7 linked regions of the Cricetulus griseus genome follow. The protein of the gene in region 6 purifies or fractionates together with the protein of the main gene of each other region. This does not show direct contact. Links are inferred from orthologs where the notes say so. Each region holds a gene or a part of one and is shown on either strand. Other genes may lie near its edges. The genes, in order: Eapp, CUNH9orf78, squamous cell carcinoma antigen recognized by T-cells 3, Hnrnpu, Bcas2, Prpf8 and Snrnp70.

Evidence for each region.
Region 1: the proteins of Prpf8 (region 6) and Eapp purify together in Homo sapiens (affinity purification with mass spectrometry; 4 studies listed by BioGRID and IntAct, counting the BioPlex papers as one, with this or other methods). This does not show direct contact. The link is inferred for Cricetulus griseus from reciprocal best matches to the Homo sapiens genes PRPF8 and EAPP.
Region 2: the proteins of Prpf8 (region 6) and CUNH9orf78 purify together in Homo sapiens (affinity purification with mass spectrometry; 4 studies listed by BioGRID and IntAct, with this or other methods). This does not show direct contact. The link is inferred for Cricetulus griseus from reciprocal best matches to the Homo sapiens genes PRPF8 and C9orf78.
Region 3: the proteins of Prpf8 (region 6) and squamous cell carcinoma antigen recognized by T-cells 3 purify together in Homo sapiens (affinity purification with mass spectrometry; 4 studies listed by BioGRID, with this or other methods). This does not show direct contact. The link is inferred for Cricetulus griseus from reciprocal best matches to the Homo sapiens genes PRPF8 and SART3.
Region 4: the proteins of Prpf8 (region 6) and Hnrnpu fractionate together in Homo sapiens (co-fractionation; 3 studies listed by BioGRID, with this or other methods). This does not show direct contact. The link is inferred for Cricetulus griseus from reciprocal best matches to the Homo sapiens genes PRPF8 and HNRNPU.
Region 5: the proteins of Prpf8 (region 6) and Bcas2 purify together in Homo sapiens (affinity purification with mass spectrometry; 3 studies listed by BioGRID and IntAct, with this or other methods). This does not show direct contact. The link is inferred for Cricetulus griseus from reciprocal best matches to the Homo sapiens genes PRPF8 and BCAS2.
Region 7: the proteins of Prpf8 (region 6) and Snrnp70 fractionate together in Homo sapiens (co-fractionation; 3 studies listed by BioGRID, with this or other methods). This does not show direct contact. The link is inferred for Cricetulus griseus from reciprocal best matches to the Homo sapiens genes PRPF8 and SNRNP70.

Annotation. Positions count from the first base shown.
Region 1 is NC_048598.1:147,621,302-147,624,236, reverse strand, and holds the end of Eapp (E2F-associated phosphoprotein), read right to left. Parts: intron 2,809-2,935; coding exon 2,695-2,808; intron 1,022-2,694; coding exon 754-1,021; 3' UTR 501-753; downstream 1-500. UniProt on the Homo sapiens protein: May play an important role in the fine-tuning of both major E2F1 activities, the regulation of the cell-cycle and the induction of apoptosis. Promotes S-phase entry, and inhibits p14(ARP) expression.
Region 2 is NC_048599.1:142,695,128-142,699,375, forward strand, and holds the start of CUNH9orf78 (telomere length and silencing protein 1 homolog), read right to left. Parts: upstream 2,801-4,248; 5' UTR 2,717-2,800; coding exon 2,634-2,716; intron 2,319-2,633; coding exon 2,259-2,318; intron 727-2,258; coding exon 675-726; intron 1-674. UniProt on the Homo sapiens protein: Plays a role in pre-mRNA splicing by promoting usage of the upstream 3'-splice site at alternative NAGNAG splice sites; these are sites featuring alternative acceptor motifs separated by only a few nucleotides. May also modulate exon inclusion events.
Region 3 is NC_048597.1:93,397,029-93,400,528, reverse strand, and holds part of squamous cell carcinoma antigen recognized by T-cells 3, read left to right. Parts: intron 1-497; coding exon 498-575; intron 576-692; coding exon 693-751; intron 752-1,623; coding exon 1,624-1,733; intron 1,734-2,929; coding exon 2,930-3,042; intron 3,043-3,500. UniProt on the Homo sapiens protein: U6 snRNP-binding protein that functions as a recycling factor of the splicing machinery. Promotes the initial reassembly of U4 and U6 snRNPs following their ejection from the spliceosome during its maturation.
Region 4 is NC_048598.1:15,817,816-15,821,836, forward strand, and holds the start of Hnrnpu (heterogeneous nuclear ribonucleoprotein U), read left to right. Parts: upstream 1-1,221; 5' UTR 1,222-1,431; coding exon 1,432-2,044; intron 2,045-3,063; coding exon 3,064-3,175; intron 3,176-3,262; coding exon 3,263-3,336; intron 3,337-4,021. UniProt on the Homo sapiens protein: DNA- and RNA-binding protein involved in several cellular processes such as nuclear chromatin organization, telomere-length regulation, transcription, mRNA alternative splicing and stability, Xist-mediated transcriptional silencing and mitotic cell progression.
Region 5 is NW_023276806.1:53,787,774-53,791,746, reverse strand, and holds the start of Bcas2 (pre-mRNA-splicing factor SPF27), read left to right. Parts: upstream 1-1,173; 5' UTR 1,174-1,241; coding exon 1,242-1,334; intron 1,335-1,420; coding exon 1,421-1,513; intron 1,514-3,571; coding exon 3,572-3,642; intron 3,643-3,973. UniProt on the Homo sapiens protein: Required for pre-mRNA splicing as component of the activated spliceosome. Component of the PRP19-CDC5L complex that forms an integral part of the spliceosome and is required for activating pre-mRNA splicing.
Region 6 is NC_048600.1:88,960,612-88,963,387, reverse strand, and holds the end of Prpf8 (pre-mRNA-processing-splicing factor 8), read right to left. Parts: intron 1,640-2,776; coding exon 1,499-1,639; intron 1,395-1,498; coding exon 1,255-1,394; intron 1,150-1,254; coding exon 947-1,149; intron 813-946; coding exon 658-812; 3' UTR 501-657; downstream 1-500. UniProt on the Homo sapiens protein: Plays a role in pre-mRNA splicing as core component of precatalytic, catalytic and postcatalytic spliceosomal complexes, both of the predominant U2-type spliceosome and the minor U12-type spliceosome.
Region 7 is NC_048599.1:154,300,798-154,304,729, reverse strand, and holds the start of Snrnp70 (U1 small nuclear ribonucleoprotein 70 kDa), read left to right. Parts: upstream 1-1,132; 5' UTR 1,133-1,343; intron 1,344-1,603; exon of another isoform or gene 1,604-1,706; intron 1,707-1,980; 5' UTR 1,981-1,990; coding exon 1,991-2,137; intron 2,138-3,932. UniProt on the Homo sapiens protein: Component of the spliceosomal U1 snRNP, which is essential for recognition of the pre-mRNA 5' splice-site and the subsequent assembly of the spliceosome. SNRNP70 binds to the loop I region of U1-snRNA.

The sequences.
Region 1 (2,935 bases), on a different chromosome or scaffold from region 6:
GAGCACTGTAGCACAGTTCTGAGTCCAGCACAAATAGCCTCAGGAAATGTCTGATATCTCAAGATTCTTTTCTAAGTGAAAGGACATGAACAATAGGTCTTAGTAGTGTTTTATTTCATGTTGCTTTTAGTAAGCATTCAAAACAGGTTTCATTATGGCAACTCCATATGCATATCACTGAACTTTGCTCATACTTACTGCCCCAATTCTGTTACCCCACCAAATGGTCAACACGCCCCACTTTCCGGGTCCTCTGTGTGAGTGTGTGTGCACGTGCACGCATGCTTAAGTCAGTCAGAGGAAACTTTGAGAGTCAGCATGTCCTTCCACTGAGGACTCCAGGGCTCGAACGATGGCAGGTTGTCGGGCTTGCACGCCATATGCAGAGCCATCTTGCTAAGCCCTAACTCATTTCGTTATAAAGCACCAACCTCTAGTACTTTGTTACGGCAATAGAAAATGGATCAAACGCTAAGAAACAAACACTTACTCCAAAACAATTTAACTCTAGGAAGCTAATTTAATAAATAAGAAGTACCAAAGTCTCCAAAGATGCACCAAAAATGAAATGATCAGCCCCGTCATTACTCATGGGAAAATTACAAAGCAAAAAGAGTGAGGAGATAGAGGTGGATAACCATTTTCATAAAGATGAAATACTGCTTTAATCAGTGTCACTGAATGATAGAGAAAATAAGAGTCCATATTTGCTTTATACAGTGCTGGGAAGCCACTACCTGTTTGAGATAGGGTTCAAGAATGGCTTGCTAAAACATTGAAAAAATGAAAGACTTCATCCTTGTCGTAGACTGCCACTTCAGTTGAACACTCTGTGCACATGACAGGATGGTAGATTTCTTCCTCTTCTGTCTCCACAGGACCCTCAGCGTTAGACCTCATCTTCTTAGCACCCCGCTTTTTCTTCCTGTTTTCTGGATTCTTGTATCTTAGAACCTCCTCTCTGTTGACAGAACAATTCATCACAAACATTGCTCTGTACTGAGTCTTGTAGGATTCATGCCTAGAGGGAGAATGAAATGGAGAGTTAGGACTTAATAGTTGTCATTTTTAGATCAACTCTGAGAACCCCTAACATGAATATTCACCAAAATAAAGACAGGGGAGTGAAATGGAAATTTAAGGAAATTTGAAAGAATTATTTATTTACTTCTTTTTTTTTTGAGACAGAGCTGTGAAAGCTAACCTGAAAATCCTCCTGTCTCAACCTCTCAAGTAATGAGAATGCCGGCATGCACCGCCACTCCATGGAGACATATATTTCTTAAATGGAACGTAAGGCTGGGTGTAGTGGCACACACCTTAGATTCCAGCACTCAGGAGACAGAAGAAGGGGGATCTCTGTGAGTTCAAGGACAACCAGGGCTACATAGATACTCTGCTTCAAAAAAAAAAAAAAAAAAAGCCAAGGCTCTTAACCACTGAGCCATTTCTCCAGCTCCCTGCAGTGGCATATCTTAATTGGGCATGTTAATTAGGTGAACCAAAGGGGGCTTTTGATGGCTGGACTTTAATACTTTGATAGCTGGACCTCAGAAGTCAGTCTCAGGAGGAGGAGGAAGTAAGGGAATAGACCTTGGTGGCTAGCTTTAGGAATGTAACCTAACAGTTTTTTCGCCAGGCAGAGGGAATCCGGGAGAAGGTCAAGGCCTGCCAGAGGCACCTGCTTGAGTGGGCTAGTTAGTGTCCCTTCACCACCAACCTCTGCGACCTAACTAGAAAACAGCATTTTTTTTTTCCTATTGCTTTAAAAACAACTTTTAGGGACTGCAGAGATGGCTTGGCTGCTAAGAACATTGGCTGCTCTTCCAGAGGACCTGGATTTGATTCCACCATCACATAGCAGCTTGCATCCATCTGTAATTCCAGTCCCAAGGGTTTTGATACCCTCTTCTGGCCTGTGGGCACTGCACATATACAATGCACAGACATATGTGCAAGCAAAGCATCAGTAAACACACAATAAAAATAAAGGGGAAAAGCCAGGCGATTGTGGTACACACCTACACAGAGAAACTCTGTCTTGAAAGAACAAAATAAAATAAAATAAAAAATAAAGGAGGAGGGAAGCAACTTTGATCCCAGAAAAAAATAATTATTTCTATAACAATTTTTAAATTTGTTTTTAAACTTAGTGGGTTTGCTAAGCTCAAGCTTACCATCCTGGCTAAAAATTATCTGCTTCTAATTTATCTGAACCCCTGCCCTCACTCCTGTTTGTTTGTTTGGTTGGGTTTTTTTTGGGGGGGGGTTGTTTTGTTTATTTTTTCGAGACAGGGTTTCTCTGTGTAACAGCTCTGGCTGTCCTGGAACTCACTCTGTAGACCAGGCTGGCCTCGAACTCACTGAGATCCTCCTGCCTCTGACTCCTAAGTGCTGGAGTTAAGGGGTGTGCAGCACCGCCCAGCTCTCACTCCTGTTTTTAAGCAAAACACTACCACAGAGGTAACCTTTTAGCAAATCCACTTTGTTCTTTAAATTTTTGCAACTGTATCATATGCTATAGTTACTACTCTTCTAGATTTTGGTCAAATAAATGTCTACATAATCAACAAAAATAGTCTAATTCTGATTTAAGCAAAGGCCCACCGAACTGTTTTGGTTCTGGGGAAGGTTTGTTCTATCGTGGGGCACACTCACTCGGGTCCATGTTATATGTTTACCTTTGTCCCTTACCTTTGGCAATCAAGGCACAGTGTAGTCATGCAGGCCGGGCAATTCAAAACAGCATCACTGTTTGGAACAGGCTGTTGTTTCTGATGGGGTCTCTGCAATCCAAAAGCATGGTAACTAAAAATAAATTTGAAAAGGAAAAATACATTAATCAACTAAATCCTGGTTTCTAATGTCACAGTCCAGAAAAAGGAATCAGTACTCAGAGAAATTACTCATTATTATTATTTACATTTCTGATTGA
Region 2 (4,248 bases), on a different chromosome or scaffold from region 6:
TGGAACTAGGTCTTGTAGACCAGGCTGGTCTCTCACTCTGACTCCCAAGTGCTGAGATTAAAGGCATATGCCATCACCACCCAGCTTTTCTTACTTTGTATGTGACCATGTTTGTTAGTTTTGTGTGTGGACAGTGTATATACATGTTTGTGTGTATGCATGTGTGGTTGTGGAGGCAAGAGCCCAAAGTCAGGCATCTGCCTCAATCACTTTCCACCTTAAATATCTCAGACAGAGAACTTACTGATTTGGGTAGACTCACTGGCCAGTCAGCTCCAGGGCTCCAACTGTCTCTACTCCAAACCTTGCTAGGGTTACAGATGGATGCCATCATGTATAGCTTTTGTGCTGGGTACTAGGGGCCTGACTCAGGTCCCCAAACTTGTGCAGCAAGAACTTCAGCACTTTACCCACAAAGCCATTCCCCCAACTTATACTTTGAGAGAGGGTATCTTAGCTTTCTTATTCAGCACATCGTCCTAATCTGCCTCCCCAGTGCTCAGATTATAGGGATGTGTCACCATTCTCAGTTTTTCATGTGGGTGCCAGGAATCCAAACTTGGACCCTTGTGCTTGCACAGGAAGCACTCTGACTAGCCATCTCCCTGGCAGCATGGTTATACATTAGAGACACACTCACAGAAGAACAGCCCCAGAGAGGAGACAACACTCACCACCAGAGTAGTCTCCTCTTGAACCTTCTCTCCCACCAGCAGGGCAGCAGCACTGAGCAAAAGAAAACAGACAAAGAAATGACACAGAGACAAGAAGGAAATCAATCAATATGCTGGCTAGTTTGTTTTGTCAACTGAAACAAGCCAGAGTCACCTGGGAAGAGGAAACTTCAATTGAGAAAATGCCTCTATCATGTTGGCCTGTAGGCAAGCCTGAGGAGTATTTTCTTACTTGTGATTGGTGTGGGAGGGCCATTGTGTGCAGGGCTCCCTTCCCCCTGGGTATGTGGTCTTGTGTTGTATAAGACAGCTGAATGTAAACCTGGGAAGCAAGCCAGTAAGCAGTGCTCCTCCATGCTCTCTGCTACAGTTCCTGCCTCTGGGTTCCTGCCTTGTCTTCCCCCAATAACTGAATGTAATCAGAACCTTTCCTCTGCAAGTGGTTTTGTGTCATGGTCACAGCATAGGAAGCAATCTGGGACAATCAGGTTTGCAGGCTAGAGCACTGATGGAAGGGCATGCCCAAGAGTAGGTAGGAAAGAACACAGTGCTCAGCACACTGAGTGGGAGGGTGAAAGGCAAAGGAAGCAGCTGTGCATGTTCCTGCATAGCCATTTGATTTCATTTTAGCCTGGAAATCACAGTATAATTTGGGTTTTCCAGACAGGGTTTCTCTGTGTGGCTTTGGAGCCCATCCTGGGACTGGCTTTGTAGACCAGGCAGTCCTCAAACTCACAGAGATCTGACTGCCTCTGCCTCCCAGAGCACTGGGATTAAAGGTGCACATCACCACTGCCCGGCTCCCACAAAGTTCTTAAATATAGGGTCTATATTTAATTAAATATAGGGTCTATATAACCCAGGTTGCCCTCAAACTCCCAGGTTAGGATTAGAGGCATGCACCAACAACCACCACAGAAATCATTTATTTCTTAATTATACTTCTCTAATTTTTCTAAACTCTTATCTGTCAACACGTTGTCATTCACAATTCATCCGTGCAATTAAAAACTCCAATTAGGGCTGGAGAGATGGCTCAGAGATTAAAAGTACTGGCTGCTCTTCCACAGGTCCTGAGTTCAATTCCCAGCAACCACATGGTGGCTCATAACCATCTGCAATGGTGTGCAAGTATACATGCAGGCAGAACACTGTATAAGTAATAAATAAAATCTTGAAAAACAAAGCAAAACAAAAAAAACAACTCCAATTAGCAACAGGGTGGTGGTGATGGCTCATGCCTTTAATCCCAGCACTCAGGAGGCAGAGGCAGGCGGATCTCTGTGAGCTCGAGGCCAGCCTAGTCTACAGAGCAAGTTCCAGGACAGGCTCCAAAGCAATACAGAGAAACCCTGTCTGGAAAAACCAAAAAGCAATTAGTGACCTGGAGTAGACTCTGATACCACCAGGCTCAGGGCATGTGGCAGTTACACATTTGAAAAAAAACTGGTCCCCTCTTCGACCAGTGCAAGGTGTATGTCTAGAGAAAGAACTATGTCGAAGGAGATATTTGTAACTGAGACCCTAGCTGGAAGTATCTGTGTCATCAATAAATGACGCCACCCCCACCCCCATGGTACCCACCTCACCCCGTTTGGCCTCTTCCTTAAGTTCTGCACCTCTCGGGTTTCTTCAAGTTTTAACCTGGGGGGAAATGAATAAAAAGCAATGCACAGGCTGAGAGATCCTCTGCGGAACTCAAAGCTTAACTCAGTTCCGGGGACATCCGTGTCTCTCGGCCGAGTCCCTGGCACTGTGGATCACCGGCAGTCAGACCCATGCGACCCCGGAGCACCTTTCCGAGCTTCGGGACCGGGGAAATGTGGCCTTATCAGCAGGAGCCTCTGAAAGACAACAACCCTGGCTCCCGGTCAGTGGTGTCAGCGCAGTGCCGGCCGGTAGCCAGTCCCAAGGCTGTTTCCCTCTTCCTGGGCCGTGGAGGTCATGCCAAACACGTACCGAACCTCCTCTGATTCCTGCTCATCTTCCTCCGACTCCGAGTCAGCCCGCCGCCGGCGGAAAGTCTTCCCAGTGATCCGCATAGCGGCACCAGATCTTAGGAGCGGCGTTACCTGCCGCGTAGTGCCGGGAACCTCTTTCTCTTCCGGCGCGCAGAAGTGTCGTCAGAGGGCCGGCTGCATGCAGACCCGCCTCCGGGTGTCCAGGCCGCGCCCCAGCAGCATAGCCACCAGCTCCCAACTCCAAAAAGCAAGGGCAGGTACAGCCGCGTGGCCACGCCCCAGCGCCGAGACTGTGCCCTCCACCAGCAAGACAGTCTTCGAACCACGTGGCCACGCCCCAGCAGCACGGCCACTCCCCCTACTCCCAGCATGCATGGGCACTCAGTACTCGCACGGCCACGCCCCCAGCACGCACGGTCCCGCCCCCTAGTAGGCAGCGCCATGTGACCCCGCCCCGTCCTTGGCATAGGCTCTCTCGATTGGACAGCTGACGGTAGGGAGGCGGGGCACGACAGGCAGAGCCACAAGACTCTGCGCGGCGTCGCGGTGGGCGCGCTTGACTGACAGGCGGCGCGGTTGCGACGGCAGGTGAGTTCCGGACGGCTGATGCCTGGTGCGGTGGGCTGGGCCGCTAGAGCAGGGACGATCGCGCCGCCGCTGCGAACTGGGGAGGCCTGGCTTTGCGGGGCAGCCGCGATCTGGGGAGAGGTCCCCGCCGCCCACCCTCCCATCGACCGGCTCCTGTGTCCGCCCCAAGTCCCCACGGCCCTGGCTTCTCCTGAGCAGGCCGCACGTCGCTCGGAAGGCCAGCGCGAGGCCACTCGGGCTCTGGGCCTCAGATGTGCAAATTTATTTCTCACGGACAAAAGCTGAGCGCCTTGGCGGGGGTGAATATCAGTCCCGATACCAACTCCCCCGTACCAGGGTGGTCTGCTGCTACTGGTCCCTAGGAGGGATGCCACTGACGTTCAGAGGCCTCTCCAAGGGTGTGAAGCCGGGGACTGCCCTTCGAGAGCTCGGGGTGTCTCCTTTGGCCTGGAGGACTCGCTCTGTCCTACACACCTTCCACCGCCAAGATGTTGCGAGAGTAGTTAGCTTTCAAAGGTATCCATAAACACTTAGGAGATGGATAAGTGCATGCGTAATGGCTCACATGGGACTTATAGGGACTCCTTAATTACTAGTTTCCTCTGGAGCAAAGCACTTCTTAACTGTGGCAGGGCTAAGCATTCTCTCCTAAAAGTCTCCGGTCTAATCTCACGAAGTAGATGCAGTTGGGTCTGTCTTCCAACTGAGGAAGTTAGAGAAGGCTGAGGCTTAGAGAAGTAACCTGTGCTTCAAGTTACACAGCTGGGAAGGGGAGCTCAGGTGGGGGCATAGTTTTCCCAGCTGTGGGATTTGCATCAGGGACAGCGGGCCTCTATGGCATTCCAGTTCATGGGCTGGGGCGGGGGGGGGGGGCGGGAGACTGATGGAGACTTTTTTCTGGAAAACTATTCTAAAGCAGGGAGGCATGTCTGCCATGCTTTGGCTTTTCTCCAGAACAATTTTCTCTGAGGTTGTCGTTCCTCTTAAACTAGGACAAAGAAGACTGGGATGTCTTGAAACAGCTT
Region 3 (3,500 bases), on a different chromosome or scaffold from region 6:
ATTATACAGTGTTCTGCCTGCAAGTATGCCTGCAGGACAAAAGAGGGCACCAGATCTTTTTATTTATTTATTTATTTATTTATTTATTTATTTATTTATTTATGTATAGTGTTCTGCCCAGGCCAGAAGAGGGTACCAGGTTGCATAACAGATGGTTGTGAGCCACCACGTGGTTGCTGGGAATTGAACTCAGGACCTCTGGAAGAGCAGCTAGTGTTCTTAACCTCTGAGCCTTCTCTCCAGCCCCTGCCATGCTCTTTTAAATCTTTGTCTCCAGGATCCCTGTTCCACACTGTGGTGGACTTACACAGCCCCATGCCACCTGCCTGTCCCTGATGTGCAGCATCTGTGTTTATCACTGCCACCCCGTCTTTCCGTCATTTATTACAGTGAGAGGAAATGTGACTGAGGTTCCTGTGTCCATAGTGGGTCTTCATGGTTGTGGTGTGAGACTTCAGAATGGTGACTTCATGGAGTTCCTCTGCCTTTTTCAACAGACTCTAGCAAGGAGCTGGAAGAGTTGCGGTCCATGTTCACACGTGCTCTGGAGTATCTGCAGCAGGAGGTGGAGGAGCGTAAGTGTCCAGCCTGCTGTCTGCCCAGTTGTCTTGACTGTTCTTGCTCGCTGAACCTCTCCTCACCTGGGGTGCTTGCTTCATGTCTGTCCTAACTGTTCCGTTCCATTCTGAAAGGTTTCAGCGAGAGTGGAGATCCAAGCTGTGTGATCATGCAGAGCTGGGCTCGGGTTGAGGTGAGCATCTTCACAGCCTGTTACTCCCTCCTCTGAGGGCTTTGTTCAGCACTCAGGAATTGGGGGACAGAATCTGAGGGTGTGGTCTACGAAGCAGCAGTGCCTGGACTCTGGCTGTGGATCCATCCACCTCTTCAGCCCTTCCCTCACTGCTTGAGGGTGTACTGAGTGTGTGCTGTTCACCAGTGTGCTGAGGGTACTGTGAGCGAGCTGGTCTCTGTGTGCTAAAGACTTTAACCTTGTCCAGAAGATGGACTGTGTGAGCAGTAGAGGGTACAGGTGGATGCTGTTCCTGAGCCAGGGACACCGAGCAGAAAGAAAAAAGAATTATAAAATTCAATAAGATTCAATCCTGTTCCATGATGGCAGTTGGGTCAGTGAAACTCACCTGGATGTATAATTCTCTAAGATTTTTGTTAAATTTTGAAGGATGAGAAACAGACTGCACTTAGGTGGTGGTACTAGTTCAAATCACATAACTTTGAGTTAGCGTTTGCTGCTGATGGATTATTATCTTCCTCTGTAATGCTTTCCAAGTAAACATTTGTAGTCAAGTTTATATAAAAAGTAAATGGCTGCCCTGCCTCACGTTTGCAAGACCTCTCTGCAGAACCTTTGTCTCTGGCTTCAGAGCCTTTCTGTGCTGCAGGCTCTGTCCGAGACTCAGCTCTGTGCACACCTGTGAGGCTCACTGCTGCAGAGAGGCAGGCAGCCAGGCTTCAGGCCTTTTAGTGCTAGAGGGAGGCCTGGGACCTTCAGGTGTTCATGGGACACAGTCATGGGGTAAGGAGGAGTGTTTTTGGCATATGGTGTGGATATAGCTGTGATAGGATGCAGGGCCTGTCCCACCTGATCTTGCTAATGTATTTTAGGCTCGCCTGTGCAATAATATGCAGAAAGCTCGAGAACTCTGGGACAGCATCATGACCAGAGGAAATGCCAAGTATGCCAACATGTGGCTGGAGTATTACAACTTGGAAAGGTGAGTGACTCAGGGCAGGTGACATCTGTACCCATTCTTGGCTGAGGTGACTTGAGCCTGCTCCTTGGGATGGGTACCCTCCTGCCTCTTCCTTTAGCAGGGCCCATGCCTGGCAAGTCTTGAGGACCAGTGTTTTGTGTGGGGGTGGGGAGGCTCATAGCCCATGAAGTTCTTCTAAGCTGTTTGCTTTTTCTTTTGAACATGCCTGCTTGGACTCTTGTGGGTTTTTTTTTTTTTTTTTTTTTTTTTTTTTTTTTTTTTATTGCATTTGTATAGGAAAGCTCAAAGCACTGAAAGAGAAAAGAGAAACACCAGATTAGCTAGGGGTTGCTGTCTAGACTTAGTGTTATTTATGGGTTAGGGTGGGCTCCTGGATGGTGTGTTTGTAGTGTGTGTGTCCAAGCTGTGATCATTCTAGATTATTGAATTCAGTAAACTACACCTAGTGGGAATACAAAAAAACAAGACCTTGCCTTTCCTCCTTTCCTCCCAAGATTGAGACTGTGTATAGCTGAAGAAGTAAGTCTGCAGCCCACCAGAGTGCTCTGCACACTACTGATCCAGATGGTTTAACTCCATGCTCTGAGCCTTGAGGCTGGCCTTGAAGCCATGGTGATTCACCTACTCAGCCTCCCCAAGTGCCTGCCAAGATGGCAGGCATGAGCTGCCACCACTCTGAAGGTTTTGAGTATGCTCATACATGCATGCATACATACATACATATATACGTATGTACATACATACATTTGCTCTGAAGGTTTTGAGTATCCACATGCATGTATACGTGCATTTGTGCCAGTGTGATTAGCAAATCTTAATCTGTTAGGGTAAAACCTGGCTCAGAGCATGGAGTTAAACTATCTGGATCAGTAGTGTGCAGAGCACTCTGGTGGGCTGCAGACTTACTTCTTCAGGAGCTAAATCAGGGTGCATTCGGTTGATGCATGGTTCCCTCCCATGTGCACAGAAGGCCTGGCTAGAGGCTCTTGTCTGAGGTGTATCCCTGGTGCACCTGCCTGGCCAAGGGGAAGCATGTGTAGGGGAGGCCCTCCCTCACAACTGCAGAGGCTTGTGGCAGGAGAGAAAAGGCCCTGGTGCTTCTGAAAGCCACTGTCGTAGGGCTCTTCTGTCTCAGCAGTAACCTGTCACATTCTTTGCTGTGGGCCTTCATGGCAGCTATTTGTTCTCTGCTCTAGGGCACATGGTGACACACAGCACTGTCGGAAGGCTCTGCACCGAGCTGTCCAATGCACGAGTGACTACCCTGAGCATGTCTGCGAAGTGTTGCTCACCATGGAGAGGACAGAAGGTGGGACTCTGCTTCTGCTTCTGGCTTGAAGTGTGGTCCTTTGGCCAGTAGTCTCCAATGGAAACATCTGGTCTATAAGGACAGGTTGGCTGCTTGCCCGTGGGAGTGAGTTCTCTTGCAGTAGTCCTCAGTCTGCAGACACAGGAAGGGCTTAGGTGCACTTGTGGCTGACCTCATCAGTTGGTACCAGTAGCCGTCCTCCCCACCACAACCACAAGGGGACTCCTAACAGATGTCCCCCTTCTGGGAGGAGCCCACATGAGAACTACTGCTCTAGCAGTGTGGGGTACTCGAGAGGCAGGGCTCAGCATGCTGTTTGGTCCTTATGGAATTTTAGATTCTTGGTGCTGGTCCTAAGCCATAACAGAACTTGGGAAGACTGTGGGTTTTTCCATGGGCACCTGTCTGGATGGGAGTGTGAGCCTGAGACCTGTAGGTGACACCCAGAACAGAGATGC
Region 4 (4,021 bases), on a different chromosome or scaffold from region 6:
TGGGAGATCTGCCTGCCTCTGCCTCCCTGGTGCTAGGATTAAAGGTGTGTGCCACCACTGCCTGGCTGACTGAATTCTTGATCTTCTTGCCTGCATCTCCCAAGGGTTGTAATTATAGACCTGTATAAACACACCTATTAGGCACAATCTACACAGAATGGCCCGTGCAGAAAATAAATTCTATTTCTACCTAAAAGTTTCAAGAACATAACATGTTTTTAATTACAGAGAAAAATAGCAACAATTTTTTGTTTGTTTGTTTGAGATGGGGTCTGTCTGACTATACAGCCCAAGGCGGCCTGGACTTTACTATGTAGCCCTGGCTGGCTTTCAACTCTTGATACTTCTGCCTCAGTCTGCCAAGAGATAGGACTGCAAGTGTGTAGACAACTCAGTGTGTGTCTGAAAAAACGGGGAGAATCAAAGTGCATTAAAATTTAGCTGGATGTCCCTCTCATGGTTAACTAAGGGAAGTCCTTCCTGCAAGAGGCCTGTCTTTACAGTGAGTCTAGGGGAATCTTCCATGCAATTCTAGGGGTTACTCAAGGGTCACTAGTAAAGACGGTGAGAAGTGCACAAGGCCCACACTGCATGCCGTGCGGCACGGAGCGGTAGGGCAAGCCTGCGCCTCCCCAGGCCTTGCACCACCGGGTATGGAAGAGACAAAAGAAACGCTGGGGCCTCGCCCTTGCGGAACTTAAAAAGTCCGATCGGCAAGGCAGGGCTTGTAAAAAATTAAACTGCAATGAAGTGGAGGAAGAAAAAAACAAAACACAAAACAAAAAACCACCTCTGTCTAACAGCCGCTTATTTGTGCTCTGCGGAGCAGCAGCGGAAACTTGGCGGAGTCTTAAAGCGAGAGCCGGAGGGACAGACAAAAAAAAAGACAAACTAAGATGGAAGAAAGGAGGGTGTCCTCCAGCGGGAAATGCCAGATGAGGACGCAGGGCGGGTGCAGGGGAGCCTCCTCCGGGCCCACGGAGGCGGACGGCCCGTGGAGCGCGGCCGCCGAGAAGCCGGAAAGGCCGGCGGCCGCCGCGGCCAGTCGGTTTAACCGAAAGGCGGCTTCCTGAGCCTCCATTTGCGCGCCGGGGCCCAGCGCCGAGGTCGCCCCGTGGGGGCGGGGCGGGGAAGGGGCGGGGCCTGCGCGCGCAGCCGCCCTAGCGAGCCCCGCCCCGGCAGGGGGCGGGGCGCCTATATTACGTGCGCGGCGCCGCCCCGGCGAGAGGACGTTGCGTGCTCGCTCGCGCCAGGCGAGTCTCCGCGTCTTGCCTCGCGAACTCGGTGAAAGGAATTGGCGCCGTTCGACACCAGGCGGGTCCGCTCTGCAGCACTCAGCCATCTCCAGCCGCAGCCGCCGCCCGGGCCGACCAGCAGCCGCCGCCACAGGCCGAGGGAGCCAGCAGTCCGCGGTGAACCGGGGCCCTCACCATGAGTTCTTCGCCTGTTAATGTCAAGAAGCTGAAGGTGTCGGAGCTGAAGGAGGAGCTCAAGAAGCGGCGCCTCTCCGACAAGGGCCTCAAGGCCGATCTCATGGATCGACTCCAGGCCGCGCTGGACAACGAGGCCGGCGGCCGCCCCGCCATGGAGCCCGGGAACGGCAGCCTCGACCTGGGCGGCGATGCGGCCGGGCGCTCGGGGACGGGCCTCGAGCAGGAGGCCGCGACCGGCGCCGAAGACGACGAGGAGGAGGAAGGCATCGCCGCCCTGGACGGCGACCAGATGGAGCTGGGCGAGGAGAACGGGGCGGCGGGGGCGGCTGACGCGGGCGCGATGGAGGAGGAGGAGGCGGCGTCGGAAGACGAGAACGGCGACGACCAGGGCTTCCAGGAGGGGGAGGACGAGCTCGGCGACGAGGAGGAGGGCGCGGGCGACGAGAACGGCCACGGGGAGCAGCAGTCCCAACCGCCGGCGGCGGCCCCGCAGACCCCGCAGCAGCGCGGGGCCGGCAAGGAGGCCGCGGGCAAGAGCAGCGGCCCCACCTCGCTCTTCGCGGTGACGGTGGCGCCGCCCGGGGCGAGGCAGGGCCAGCCGCAGGCCGGAGGTAGGAAGGCGGAAGGCGGCGGGTGAGGGCTGCGTGGTGGGCGGGCGGGCGCGCGGCTTGTAGGCCCGCGTGGGGACCGTGCCCCAGGCCGGCCGGGGCCCCAGGGGCGAGCGACGCGGGCGGGCGGGGGGGGCGGGGGAGCCCCGGGGCCGCCGAGAGGATGGGCTCGCCATGCCGGCGGCGCCTCCTCCATTATGTGTGTCGGGCGCCGGGGGGAGCTGCAGCTGCCGCGGTGGGGGAGGAGCCGGGCGGGAGCGGCGGCCGCTGGAGCGCTGCGTGCGCGCGGTTCGGGCACATGTCTGGGGGGAGGGGGAAGGTCCCGGGGCGGGCGGGCTTTGGCGGCTCAGCGCCGCGGTATTGTGCAAGGAGCGCAGGGGCTCGGTGTGACGTCACTTCCGGCGGGAGGCGCCGGGCGCGGGGAGTGAGGCGGAAGCTCAGTACAATGCGGCGGCGGGGCACGCGGGCTCGGATGGGGGAGGGGAGGCGGGCCCACGCTGCCCTGCCCTCCCCCCCACACCCCCCGCCGCCGCCGCGCGCACGGCGCGCAGCACGTGGGCCCGGACGGCGGGCGCGCGGTTTTAGTCCTTAAATGCATTCCGGAAGGTTACCCTAGGCTGGCAGGATTAGCAGCGTCTTTAGACTGCGTCACCGTCTCCAGTGCAGTTCCAGGCTGATGGATACGATTTTTTCTAGATTCATATTAGTTTCGTGGGTTAAAAAGTCTCAGAACTCGCCTGGCGTTGGTGCCATACGCCTTTTTCCCCAGCACTCGGGAGGCAGAGGCAGGCGGATCTCTGTGAGTTCGAGACCAGCCTGGTCTACAAGAGCTAGTTCCAGGACAGCCTCCAAAGCCACACAGAAAAACCCTGTCTGGAAAAACCAAAAATAAAAAAGTCCGAGATCCAGTCTAGGAGGGAAAAAATAACAGCCCCTAAAAGTCCCGGAACAGAAACGGGAGCTTTTCTCTATAATTCAGTCTGTGGCCTGATGATTTAAGGCTGTGTTCTGTGTCGTTATAGGAGACGGTAAAACAGAACAGAAAGGAGGAGATAAAAAGAGAGGTGTTAAAAGACCGCGAGAAGATCATGGCCGAGGATATTTTGAGTACATTGAAGAAAACAAGTACAGCAGGTAGAGGATCCTAACCTAGTTTTATTTGTCACCCAGTTTTTATGCGTGGTTGGGAAAGCTTTATCAGGAGACGATTCTGTCTTTCAGAGCCAAGTCTCCTCAGCCACCTGTTGAAGAAGAAGACGAACACTTCGATGACACAGTGGTTTGTCTTGATACTTGTAAGTGAAGCAAACTTTCCCGCTCTTTTTCTCAAATATTTAAGTGCAGTGCTATTTTGGTTTAACTCTTAGGAAAAGTGTGTTTGTATATCTTAAAGTGGAGAAAACCCGTTAGATTGTTTTAAATCAGGAAGATAATAGCTCATGTTCAGGTTACAGTAGTTTTATGTTTAGCGACACTTCAGTTGTATTGCTGTTTTTACAAGCTCTACTAATTGATACTTATGTCATGGAAGTTCCCAATATTTAGGGATGTAAAACTAATACCGATTTTTGTTCAGCTTTCAGAAACTTGTTTTTAAAACCTGCCTGTAACATGTCCTTAGATAGGTAATATGAAAATTAAAATTTTTCTGTGGAGCTACTATATTAAGTGAGCTATTTGGGCTAGTTGAATACTTACTAACGATTTTCCCATTAGCGCACAAGTACATTCCCTATTCTAAGGATTGTCATATTACCTTTTCAATAACTGCTCTTTTGTTCTCAATTCCAGTTCAGTAGCTGCTGCTCTAACATAAGTTGATTTCTTCCAAAGACCTGGGGCAGCAGCAGTGGGCTATCTGAGCCACTAGCTTTCTTCAGCAGCGAATGGTATCAATGGCAGCGCTGTAAATATGCTACTTTAGAGTATGAGGAAGTATTGCAAGCCATGAAATGGGCTTTAGCTGTCAGATTTGTATTT
Region 5 (3,973 bases), on a different chromosome or scaffold from region 6:
CACAAGAGCGCCACCAACTGGGAGTGTTCAAATATGTAGGTCTAGGAGAGGCAGTTCTCATCAAACCACAAGTTGTGAAGCTCTTTCACTTTACTTAAACCTATAGGCAGCACATTTACATAATGTAAAATCATAAATACCCATATCAATCTTAGAATAACCAGGCTTATAGCTGAGACCAACTTTTCTAACAGATAAGCCTTGGTTGAATGCCCATTAGGCAGGACACATAGGTCCAACAATCTTTTTTGCATTTACCTCTTAGTTTTGGGGTATACTTAACAGAGAATGTATACTAGTTACAGCCTGAGGGGAAGGGAGCCTAGGAGGATCACTATTACCACAAATCCTAAAGGCAAAATGATTGGGTTTTATGTAGGCCCCAGAGACAAAAACATGGCAAAGCTTTTTAAGCAAAGCATCCTGTAGACAGAATTCCAGTCCTTGGAAGGATGAGGTGTTCATTTGTAGCGCTGAAGATTGAGATGGGGCTTTACCACTGAGCTGTCCTGGAACTCGAGCTTGTAGACCAGGTTGGTCTCTAACTCACAGAGATCTCCTGCCTCTGCCTCCCAAGTGCTGGGATTAAAGGAGTGTGCAACCACTGCCCGGCTTACCCCCAGCTTCTTTTTGTTTTTTGTTTTTTCGAGACAGGGTTTCTCAGTATTGTTTTAGAGCCTATTCTGGAATTGGCTCGGTAGACCAGGCTGGCTTCGAACTCTCAAAGATCCGCCTGCTTCTGCCAACCGAGTGCTAGGATTAAAGGCGTGCGCCACCAACGCCTACCCCCAGCTTCTTTAAAGGGCGTGGGAAGTATATTTCTCCCCTCCAGTGAAGTCCAGCAACCACCTCTTGAAAAGTTCCCACGCCCCAATTCTCAGTCTTTTAAACCCCTCTCCCTCCTACTATGCTAGTCTCACTGCATTGCTAGCATCTATGTCTAACTCAAAGGGCATGTCTTGCCTCCGGTCTGCCCTGTTGTTTTTCTCTTAAACTCGAATAAAATCGTCCTCGTAGCCATGGAGGAAAGACAGGCATAATCCCAGGTCTACCGGGACGTCAGTGCGCAAGGCCTCAAACAAAACAGTCCTTAAGACCTAGCGGCTACAGAATCAGCCGCTCTGCACACGGCCCGAATCCGAGAGGCGGCGCTGTGTGTGACGTCATCCCGCGCGCAGGCGCAGTGGCATAGCAGCGAGCCGGCGCAGACTGACGGCGTTGGTGGAGCAGAGTGCCGCGCAATGGCAGGCACGGGTTTGGTAGCCGGGGAGGTGGTGGTGGATGCGTTGCCGTACTTTGACCAAGGCTACGAGGCTCCCGGCGTGCGGGAAGCGGTGAGTATGGGGCGCGTGCGGGGGTGGGGGTCACCCGAGGCATGGTTCCCTTTCTCGCCTTGACCCCGGTTTGTTCTCTTTCTTAGGCTGCGGCCCTGGTGGAGGAGGAAACTCGCAGATACCGACCTACCAAGAACTACCTGAGCTACCTGACAGCCCCGGATTATTCTGCCTTTGAAGTAAGTGCGGTGTCCTGAGTCCCGCATCCTGACCAGGATTCTTGCCGGCTTAGATTTCGGATTGAGGGCTTTAGCTCTGGAAGCAACTGCTGCTTGCTGCTCATGTTGCATGTCAAGATCAGTTGGTTCAAAATAGCCAGATGAGCTTTCCTCAGGGTTCGTATTACAAGAAATACTTTATTGGTTCTGCAGACTTGTTTAATAAAATATTTGGGTCTTTTATTTTTAAGAGTCCCTAGTAAACTTCCCTAAAGGACCCCTTATCCTTTATTCTCTAAGGTCCAGTCAAAAACAGGTAGTAATCACGGGATTTTAATATTTATAATCTTAACTACCTGTACTCTTTGCAACCACTGAAGGGAGATTTTTGTAACAAAACTCAGATAGTTAGCGGATATATGAATGCCTGAACAAACATGCCTAACTGCATACCATTTAAAATTGTTATCCTACAAGTGCAACCAAAATACCATTTAGGTCCTAATCAGGTGTTCATTTGCAAACTTTTAAATGCTTTAATACATTTTTTCTAACCTTTTAAAATGCAGCGCGGTTCCTGCCTTTATAATTAGTGTTCTGGTTAATTTAATACTTTCTTAGTAGTTGTTAATGGTGTATTGAACTATTTTTCCTAGCTCAGAAAATGGTCCTATGAATTACATAACTGTTCATTTTTATTCTTCTGCCAATTAAGGTTTTTAAGGCTGGAACTCATGCTAGCCTATAACTCACTAAGACAGGTCAGCTTTGAACTTGGGATAATCTTCCTGCTTCAGGCTTGTGAGTGTTGGAATTACAAGTGTAAGTCACCATGTCCAGCTCTTGATGCAGGATTGTGTGTGTGTGAGTTTAGACAGAGCCTCAAGTAGATCAGGCTGGCCTCGAACTCACAGAGATCCGTCTGCCTCTAGGTGCTGGGATCAAAGCGTGCGCTGCCACCCCCTATCGGAAAAGCTTTTTAATTTGTTGCAGTTGCATGTATGAATTCTTGTTGCTTCCTAGACTACTGGACTCCTATTCAGAAAGTGCTTATGTACTGTCTATGCAAACTGAACAGAATATGCAATGTATTACAGAACAGAATAGGCACAGTTCGTATCCTCATAATACTTAGATTCTAGTTTTGAGATGGGCAGATAAATTAAAAAGTCTCGGATATTTTTGATAAATGCCAAATAGAAAATTAATGATGTTGCTGGTTGGCTGTGGCCCACACCTTTAATCCCAGAACTCGGGAAGCAGAGATAGGTAGATCTCTGTGAGTTCAAGGCCAGCCTGATCTACAAAACAAGTTCTAGCACAGCCAGGGCTACACAGATGTGATAGCAACTGGGTGACTGTCATACATTAATTAGATGGTTGAGAGAGGTTTTTCAGGCAGAGAAACTGCTCCCTGTGTGGGGTTAGTTGTTGTGATACCTTCCTCATTTAGAACCCAGGTTACAACTGTGTTGTAACCCCTCCCGGGGTTTTTATAACTCCATGTGATTAGTTCAGAAATCAAGTCTCAAATCCAATGTTTCATCTTGTGACTTTATTGAAGTCGAGGTTTTAAACTGGAGTATGTGGGATTTACACTGTGTCACACTACACAGCACTAGAGACTGCCTGAAACATTTGGCTCAGATTCAAGGCTCTCATATGTTGTGAAATACAATGTAATGTGTGGCTGGGTAAAAGTTGTCTTCACAGCTCCACAACTGATTGCAGTGCATTGAAAACTGCTGATTGAGGGTTAATCCTTAACACACAGGTTCTTTTATGTTTGCCTCCTTTTGTGCCTGGGCAGACTATAGAATTAAAGTGGGTGTCTATTTCTTCAAGACCCTAGATAAAATTAAGCCCAGACCCAAACTGGGGGATGGTGAAAGTGTAGCATAGTGGGAGAACATGTGTGAGACCTGGGTCAAATATTAATATCCTTTAAAAAGGGAGATGGGGTTGGTAATTGAGAGAAGCAAAAAGATCCATTATAATGTAGTACAAAGTATAAGATCTCAGTAAACATTATTTTCAACCTGATCCTGGTACTAATTCTTTGTGTTGTTTCTTCATCAGACTGACATAATGAGAAACGAATTTGAGAGGCTAGCTGCTCGACAACCAATTGAATTACTCAGCATGAAGCGGTGAGTGAGGTTAGGCTTGGGGGGAACTCGACAGCGGTGGCTGAGGTTGGGAAGAGCATTGCCAGCTGTGTGGAGGCCGTGAGCAGTGAGATTAGAAGATACAGTGCTGCCAGTTATAAACATGATCACGGCCTTTTTTCTTTAAACAAAAATGTTAGCAAATATAATACATTTAAGCAACTTTCAAAAAGATGGTAAGGCAGACTTTACCCAAGAGGGGTCTCATCTCAACAGGGATGAGAGACATCAGAGTCTCTGTGACTTTTACAGGTTAACTAGTTCACATTTATGAAAATTTTTTTTTTTTTTGTTACAGCATACAGTTGTGTTT
Region 6 (2,776 bases):
TCACTGGATACAGGCAGGACAGCCAACTTCCAGGCAGGTATCCAAGAGCTGAGAGGCAGGGCTATAAGTGGTCACTTTAGGCAAACCCTCCCCGTAGTGCCTGATCCAGGCTCCACCCCTAGACTTGGCTGCCAAGCACTCCAGAGGTGAAAGACTGAAGGTCAGCAAATAGCCTTTACTGGACTGCTGGGACAGCCACCGATGTGCTTGTTACCCCACCAGGAACGACAAGGTTTACAAATGGACAAGGCCAGGCATTACAGCTACAGGACCAGAGTCCTAGAAGCGATGTTGAAAATAGGTGGTTTCCAAGAACACAAACCAACAAATATGGTCAAGGTAGTGGAGTATGAAAGCCAGGCCCAATTCAGTCTAGGGTATATGGAACCTCAAAGGCCTGAAGGCCGGGGCCCAGAACTTTGTTGTGAACTGCCCAAGCCAGTCCCCAAAGTAATTTACACCCAGAATCTGAACTCATAAGAGCAAGAAAACAACAGCACTCCTATTTATACAAAATTTATTACATTTTGTTCAGGATTACAGTCTATCAACAACACAAACACAAAACACAAAAGGGGCCAGGCTGCTGAATGTCAGCAGCTTGTCTATGGGCTCCAGCCTTTGGGGAATCCGAAGCAGAAGGAAGCAAGAAAATAACTAGGCGTAGAGGTCCTCTCTGTCTGCAGAGTAGACCTCACCCTCCTGCAGGAGGGCAAAGTTGAGGAAGTGGGAGGGCCTATGGACCTCATGATAGAATTCCTTGGGGTTTGCCAGCTGCAGCTCATATTTCATGTTTGGATCATGCCGAACACCTTAGAGAGGGGGAAACATCAGATGTTAACAAGGGTCCTTGGGCAGTCAGACCCCAAGAGCCAAGAGTGCTGGCTTCTCCTACTTCCACCCCTACCCTGTCCACGCTCCCATGCTGTCGCATACAACCACATACCCATAAAGTTGTAATTCCAGGAGGACTGGGCAGGAACCATAAAGAAGCCGAGGAATCGGTCTGAGAGGAGCATCTGGACCCTCTCATAGTGTGAGGGCAGGTAGCCTTTGGGGTTGTTGCCTTTGTCAGTGTTCTGTCGGCCCCACTCATAGCCACTGGGGGTCAACTTGTAGGCTGTCAGTGTGCAGGAGCCTGGGGTGAAGCTGGGGGGAGGGAAAAAGACAGGCTGAGAGCTCAGGCCACAAATCCAGGCTCTGACCTGCAATACTTACCTTAAAATATTTCCACTCAAGGAGGCCCATACCCACCTGCAGGTGATGATAATTGTCTTCTCGCCATCCCAAGATGGGTTGTCAGCCATGATCTTGGCATGAGTGGTGACATCTTGGGGTGATAGCTGGGGAGACTCATTGGGTTGAGTGTGGATCCAACCTAAGGGTTCCATCTCCTGCAGGCAAAGAGCAAAGAGCTGTTCAACCTATCTGCAGACAAATGCCACCCATTAGGGTAACATGAGAGTAAGTTCAATTCCCAGGCTCCACCACCACAAACCTTGAGGTACTCATGCTGGGGCAGCTGGCTGGGAAGGTGCACAGTCTGGTGAGTGCCCCACTGAGGCACCATCACAATACAGCGGATCTCCTTCACCTGAGGGTTATCTGGAGGACTCACCCCATATAGGTACCCTGCAATCTAGAAATGAGGGGATCAGAAACGATTCTCAGTACCAACACAGAATGCCAGAATTTCTTCCCATTCCCAAGAAAAAGCTAGTTTGTCAAAACACAGTCAAAAACTGCTGGGGAAGAATCATCTGGTTACTTGTTCAAAATGTTACACATAAACCTCATCTTAAACTGTCCCCAGGATCTGGGAAAATCAAACTTGGGTCATTAGGTTTAGTGGCAAGTGCCTCTCTCTAGCCACTGAATCCAAAAGTTCATAAAAATTTATAATTGGAGCTGGAGAGATGGCTCGGTGGTTAAGAGTATTGGTTGCTCTTTCACAAGACCTGGGACAGATTCCTGGCATCCACACAGTGGCTTACAACTGTCTGTAACTCCAGTTCCAGGGCACCTGACACTCTCTTCTGCCCTCTACAGGTACTGCATGCATATGGTGCAGATATATGTGTAGCAAAACACCCGTGTGTGTGTGTGTGTGTGTGTGTGTGTGTGTGTGTGTGTGTGTGTGTGTGTGTGTGTTTATGACTGTTTTTCCAGAGAACACCCACAACTGTCTGTGACTCCAGTTCCAAGGGATCTAACACCCTCCCACAGGCATACATGCATGCAAAACACCAATAATATAAAATAAAAATAACTTTAAAATATTTTCAATGTGGCCGGGCGGTGGTGGTGCACGACTTTGATCCCAGCACTTGGGAGGCAGAGGCAGGCGGATCTCTGTGAGTCCGAGACCAGCCTGGTCTACAAGAGCTAGTTCCAGGACAGCCTCCAAGGCCATAGAGAAACCCTGTCTCAAAAAAGAAAAAAAAAAAAAAAAAAAGAAGAAGAAGAAAAAGAAATTTCAATGTATTGTTATTATGTATGTGTATGTAAGAGGACTTGTGTATGCCACTGAGTGAGCGTGAAGGTCAGAGGACAAGTCTGTGAAATAGGTTCTCTCCTTCCACCTTTACAGGGGTTCTAGGGAATCAAACTCAGATTGTCAGGCTTGTATGAGATGCTTTACCTACTGAGCCACCTCACCAGCTTTAAGTTGCTGGGTTTTTTTTCTTCTCAAGAAACTGAACCCAGGGCGTTAGAGCATGCCAGGCAAGCATTCTGTGATTGAGCGAACTCAGAACCTCTGGAAGAACAGTCAGTG
Region 7 (3,932 bases), on a different chromosome or scaffold from region 6:
AGGACCTGACTTCAGGTGCTAGCACCCAATATGAGAGGCCTGGAACAACATATAACACCAGCTCCCAAGGGCTACACCTTTTTCTAACCCCTGGGGGCACCTGTAACCATGTGCACACCCCCACCACAGACTGACAGAAAAGACACACAATTAAGAAAACACAACCCTGCTGGGTATGGTGGCACGCCCATTTAATCACAACTCCCAGGAGGCAGAGACAGGAAGCTCTCAGTGAGTTTGAGGCCAGTCTGGTCTACAGGGTAAGCCAGGGCAACCAGGGCTACACAGTAAAACTGTCTCAGAAAGCCAAAACACATACACACACACACACACACACACACACACACTGCAAGGTAATTTTGAGCCAAACGGTGAAACCTTGTGTAAAAAAATAAAGAAAAATAAAACAACAGAACACACAAAAAAGAAAACCCACTAAACAAACGTATTATATTTCCAAACAATGTAAGCTCCAAGAAGACTATTTTGTCACATGTTGTGTCCCTAGAGTTCAAACAGTGTCTAGAACATACAAGACACTTGGGAGAGAACTTATCCATTAAATAGAATTTAAAAGCAATGACCCGGGATGGAGAGATGGCTCAGAAGTTAAGAGCACTGGCTGCTCTTCCAAATGTCCTGAGTTCAGTTCCCAGCAACCACATGGTGGCTCAGAAGCATCTGTAATGAAATCTGGTGCACTCTCTGGCCTGCAGGGACACATGCAGACAGAACACTGTATACACAATAAATAAATCTTTAAAAAAATGAATAAATAAAATAAAAGCAATGACCCTGATGAGGTAGGTACTTTTTAACAGTCTGCGGAAGGATATTCCACCTGGCACTTTACGTTCACGCATGCGTACAGGGTCCGGGAAGTGTAAGGGGAAAGGGGTGGGGCATCAGTAAGTGTCTCGCGGGCATAGGCGGTTGGCTAGAGCGCGAGGTGGGTGCCGACCTAGTGCCTGAGCACGCATGCGCACGTCGCTTGCCAGGCCAAGGCAGCCTAAGCATTGAAGGACTCTGACGGCGGAGTCTTGGCTTTGCGCGTGCGCAGTGCTCGCTGTAGAGCCAAGACCTCAAAATGGGTGTCTTTTGACTCGTGCGGCGCATGCGCGGTGCGTGCGGCGGAGGGATTCTAGACCGGATCCCTCTCCGTTCCTGTCGCGAGCCGAGGCCGCGCGGGTTGTGAGGAGCGGCCTGGTTTGCGCGCGCGGCGCGGACCTCTGAAGGTAGCTGACGCAGACGCCGCCGAAGTGGAAGCCAGAGCGGGAGTTTTTGTTGGTGAACGGCGGCCGCGAGGCCTGAGACTAACGTCAGGCCGAGGAGAGCGCCGCGCGGTGAGTGAGTGAATGAGTGGCCTTAACGGGGTTCGGGTCCGCTCTACCCACAAGCCTTTGCGGGGTCCCCGAACTCTCTACCCGCGCCTGAGGCCCGCTTACCGGGTCCGCGCTTCAAACCACCCCATCCTTTACCCAGAGTCCCCTCAGCGTCCCCCTCCCCCTGCCTCTCGCGGTCCCCTACCCACAGGCCCTTGCGTTTTATGTGTTGCCTCTTTTCCTCGCTTTTTTTTTTTTTTTTTTGTCGCATCCTGGATCTGTACCCATAATTCCGTTCGCCTCTGGGATCCTAGATATTTTACGCAGATCCCCTGGCTTGATCTTTTTGGACTACCTTGAGACCCCTACCTCGTAATCTCCAAGGTATGAGGCCAGCAACCCTCTGAGCTTAGTGCTTCAGGTCTCTAGGTCCCTCACCTCCTGATTCCTTTTCCCTTGTTTTCTGTGTTTTTAGTCCTTTGTTTCTCAGCTCCTGCCAAGACCGACCTTTTTCGTGCAGATGTCTTCCACCGGCTCACCCGGGATAGATAGCAGCGTCCTCGTGATCTCTCCTGTCTGCTTGTTTGATTTTGAGTGAAGGGGTTCTAGAGGGAACCTCCTGTGCTAAAGTTCCCTAACCTAAGGTTTCTGGTCTCAGGTTTGGCAAGATGACACAGTTTCTGCCTCCCAACCTTCTGGCCCTCTTTGCCCCTCGAGACCCCATCCCGTACTTGCCACCCCTAGAAAAGCTGCCACATGAAAAACATCACAACCAACCTTATTGTGGCATTGCACCATACATCCGGGAATTTGAGGTGAGTAAAGGGAGACATGGGGCCTACTAGAAGGGCTTGGGTGCTGAATGAGAGCAGGCTGCATTTTGGAGTAGAGATTTTAAACATATTTTAGTTTTGTGGTTTATGATTTTACTTTTCTTAATCTTGTTTTTGCATTTGTGTGCGTTCTATTTCTTTTATATTAAGTTTTTAATTTATTAGTTTTTATCTTATATGCATTGGTGTTTGGCAAGGATGTCAGGTACCCTGGAACCAGAATCACAGACAGTTGTAAGCTGCCATATGGGTGCTAGGAATTGAACCCTGGTCCTCTGAAAGAGCAGTCAGTGCTCTTACCCACTAAGTCACCTCTCCAGCCCGTCATTAAGTGTTTTTGTTTTTCGTTTTTCTAGACAGGGTTTCTCTGTGGCTTTGGAGTCTGTCCGGGAACTAGCTCTGTAGACCAGGCTGGCCTCGAACTCACAGAGATCCACCTGCCTCTGCCTCCCGAGTGCTGGGACTAAAGGCGTGCGCCACCAACGCCCGGCATCGTTAAGTTTTAATTACACTTGTATTTGTGGTGTGTATGGATGTGTGTGTGCAAACCTATAAACCTATAAGGGGGCAACTTGAAAGAATCAGATCTCTCTTTCCATTGTGTGGGCTCAGGAGAGCAAGCTGAGTTTGTTACCTTTGGTGAAAAGGGCCTTAACTTGCAGAACCATCGTGCTTAGCCCCTTTGTTTGAGTTTTGAGACAGAGTTTTGCTATGTAGTGTAAATGGACAGATCTACAGACCTCTTAGTGGCAAGCTTCATTCTCCGACCCTCAAACAGGCTTTATTTGTACAAGCAAGACATTACCACAGTGTAGCTCAGAGTGGCCTTGATGGTATACCAGTCCTACTTAGGTTCCCAAATGCTGCAGTTAATGGGTGTCCACTTCCAGGACCAGCTAATTTCCTTTATTTATTTTGGATGTAAGATAAACGGAAAAATTAAGTAAAAAGAAAGAAATGTAATAAACAATACCTATCAAAAGAATTTTTTAAAAACTTATTTATTTTAAAAACTTATTTATCATATGCATGCTGCTTCCTTGGTGCCATAAAGCCCCTGGAACTGGAGTTACAGACAGGTGTGAGCTGCCATGTGGGTGCTGGGAATTGAACTCAGGTCCTCTGGAAGAACAGCTGGTGCTCTTAACTGCTGAGCCATCTCTTCAGCCCCATTTTGTCTTTTTTTTTTTTTTAAAGCTTGCAGAGATACATCTACTTGGCTTTGTGCTCTCAAGTACTCAAGTACTGGGATTAAAGTCTTGTGTCTCCACTCTTTGGGGTTTCTGTTTGGAACTGTGGGGAGTTGCAGAATTCCTTTGGGAGCCATGTAGCTTTTTGTTTTGTTTTGGTTTTGGTTTTGGTTTTTGAGACAGGGTTTCTCTGTGACTTTGGAGCCTGTCCTGGAACTAGCTCTTGTAGACCAGGCTGGCCTCAGAACTCAGATACCCGCCTGCCTCTGCCTCCCGAGTGTTGGGACTAAAGGTGTGTGCCACCACTGCCCAGCTACACTGCCTCAGTTTCTTGAGTGCTGGGATTAGAGGTGTGCACCCCTACCACCCTGCTTTTTTTCTTCTTCTTCTTGCCAGGTAGCTTTGGAACTGTACTTTACAGCTATGTAACTTATGTTACACTCTGATGAAGAACAAATGTCTACCAGTCATTGTAGGTGCTTTTTTGTTTTGTTTTGAGACAGGTTTTTTTTCTGTGTATCCTTAGCTGTCCTGGAACTCACTGTGTAGACCAGGCTGGCCTGGATCTCAGAGATCCACCTGCCTCT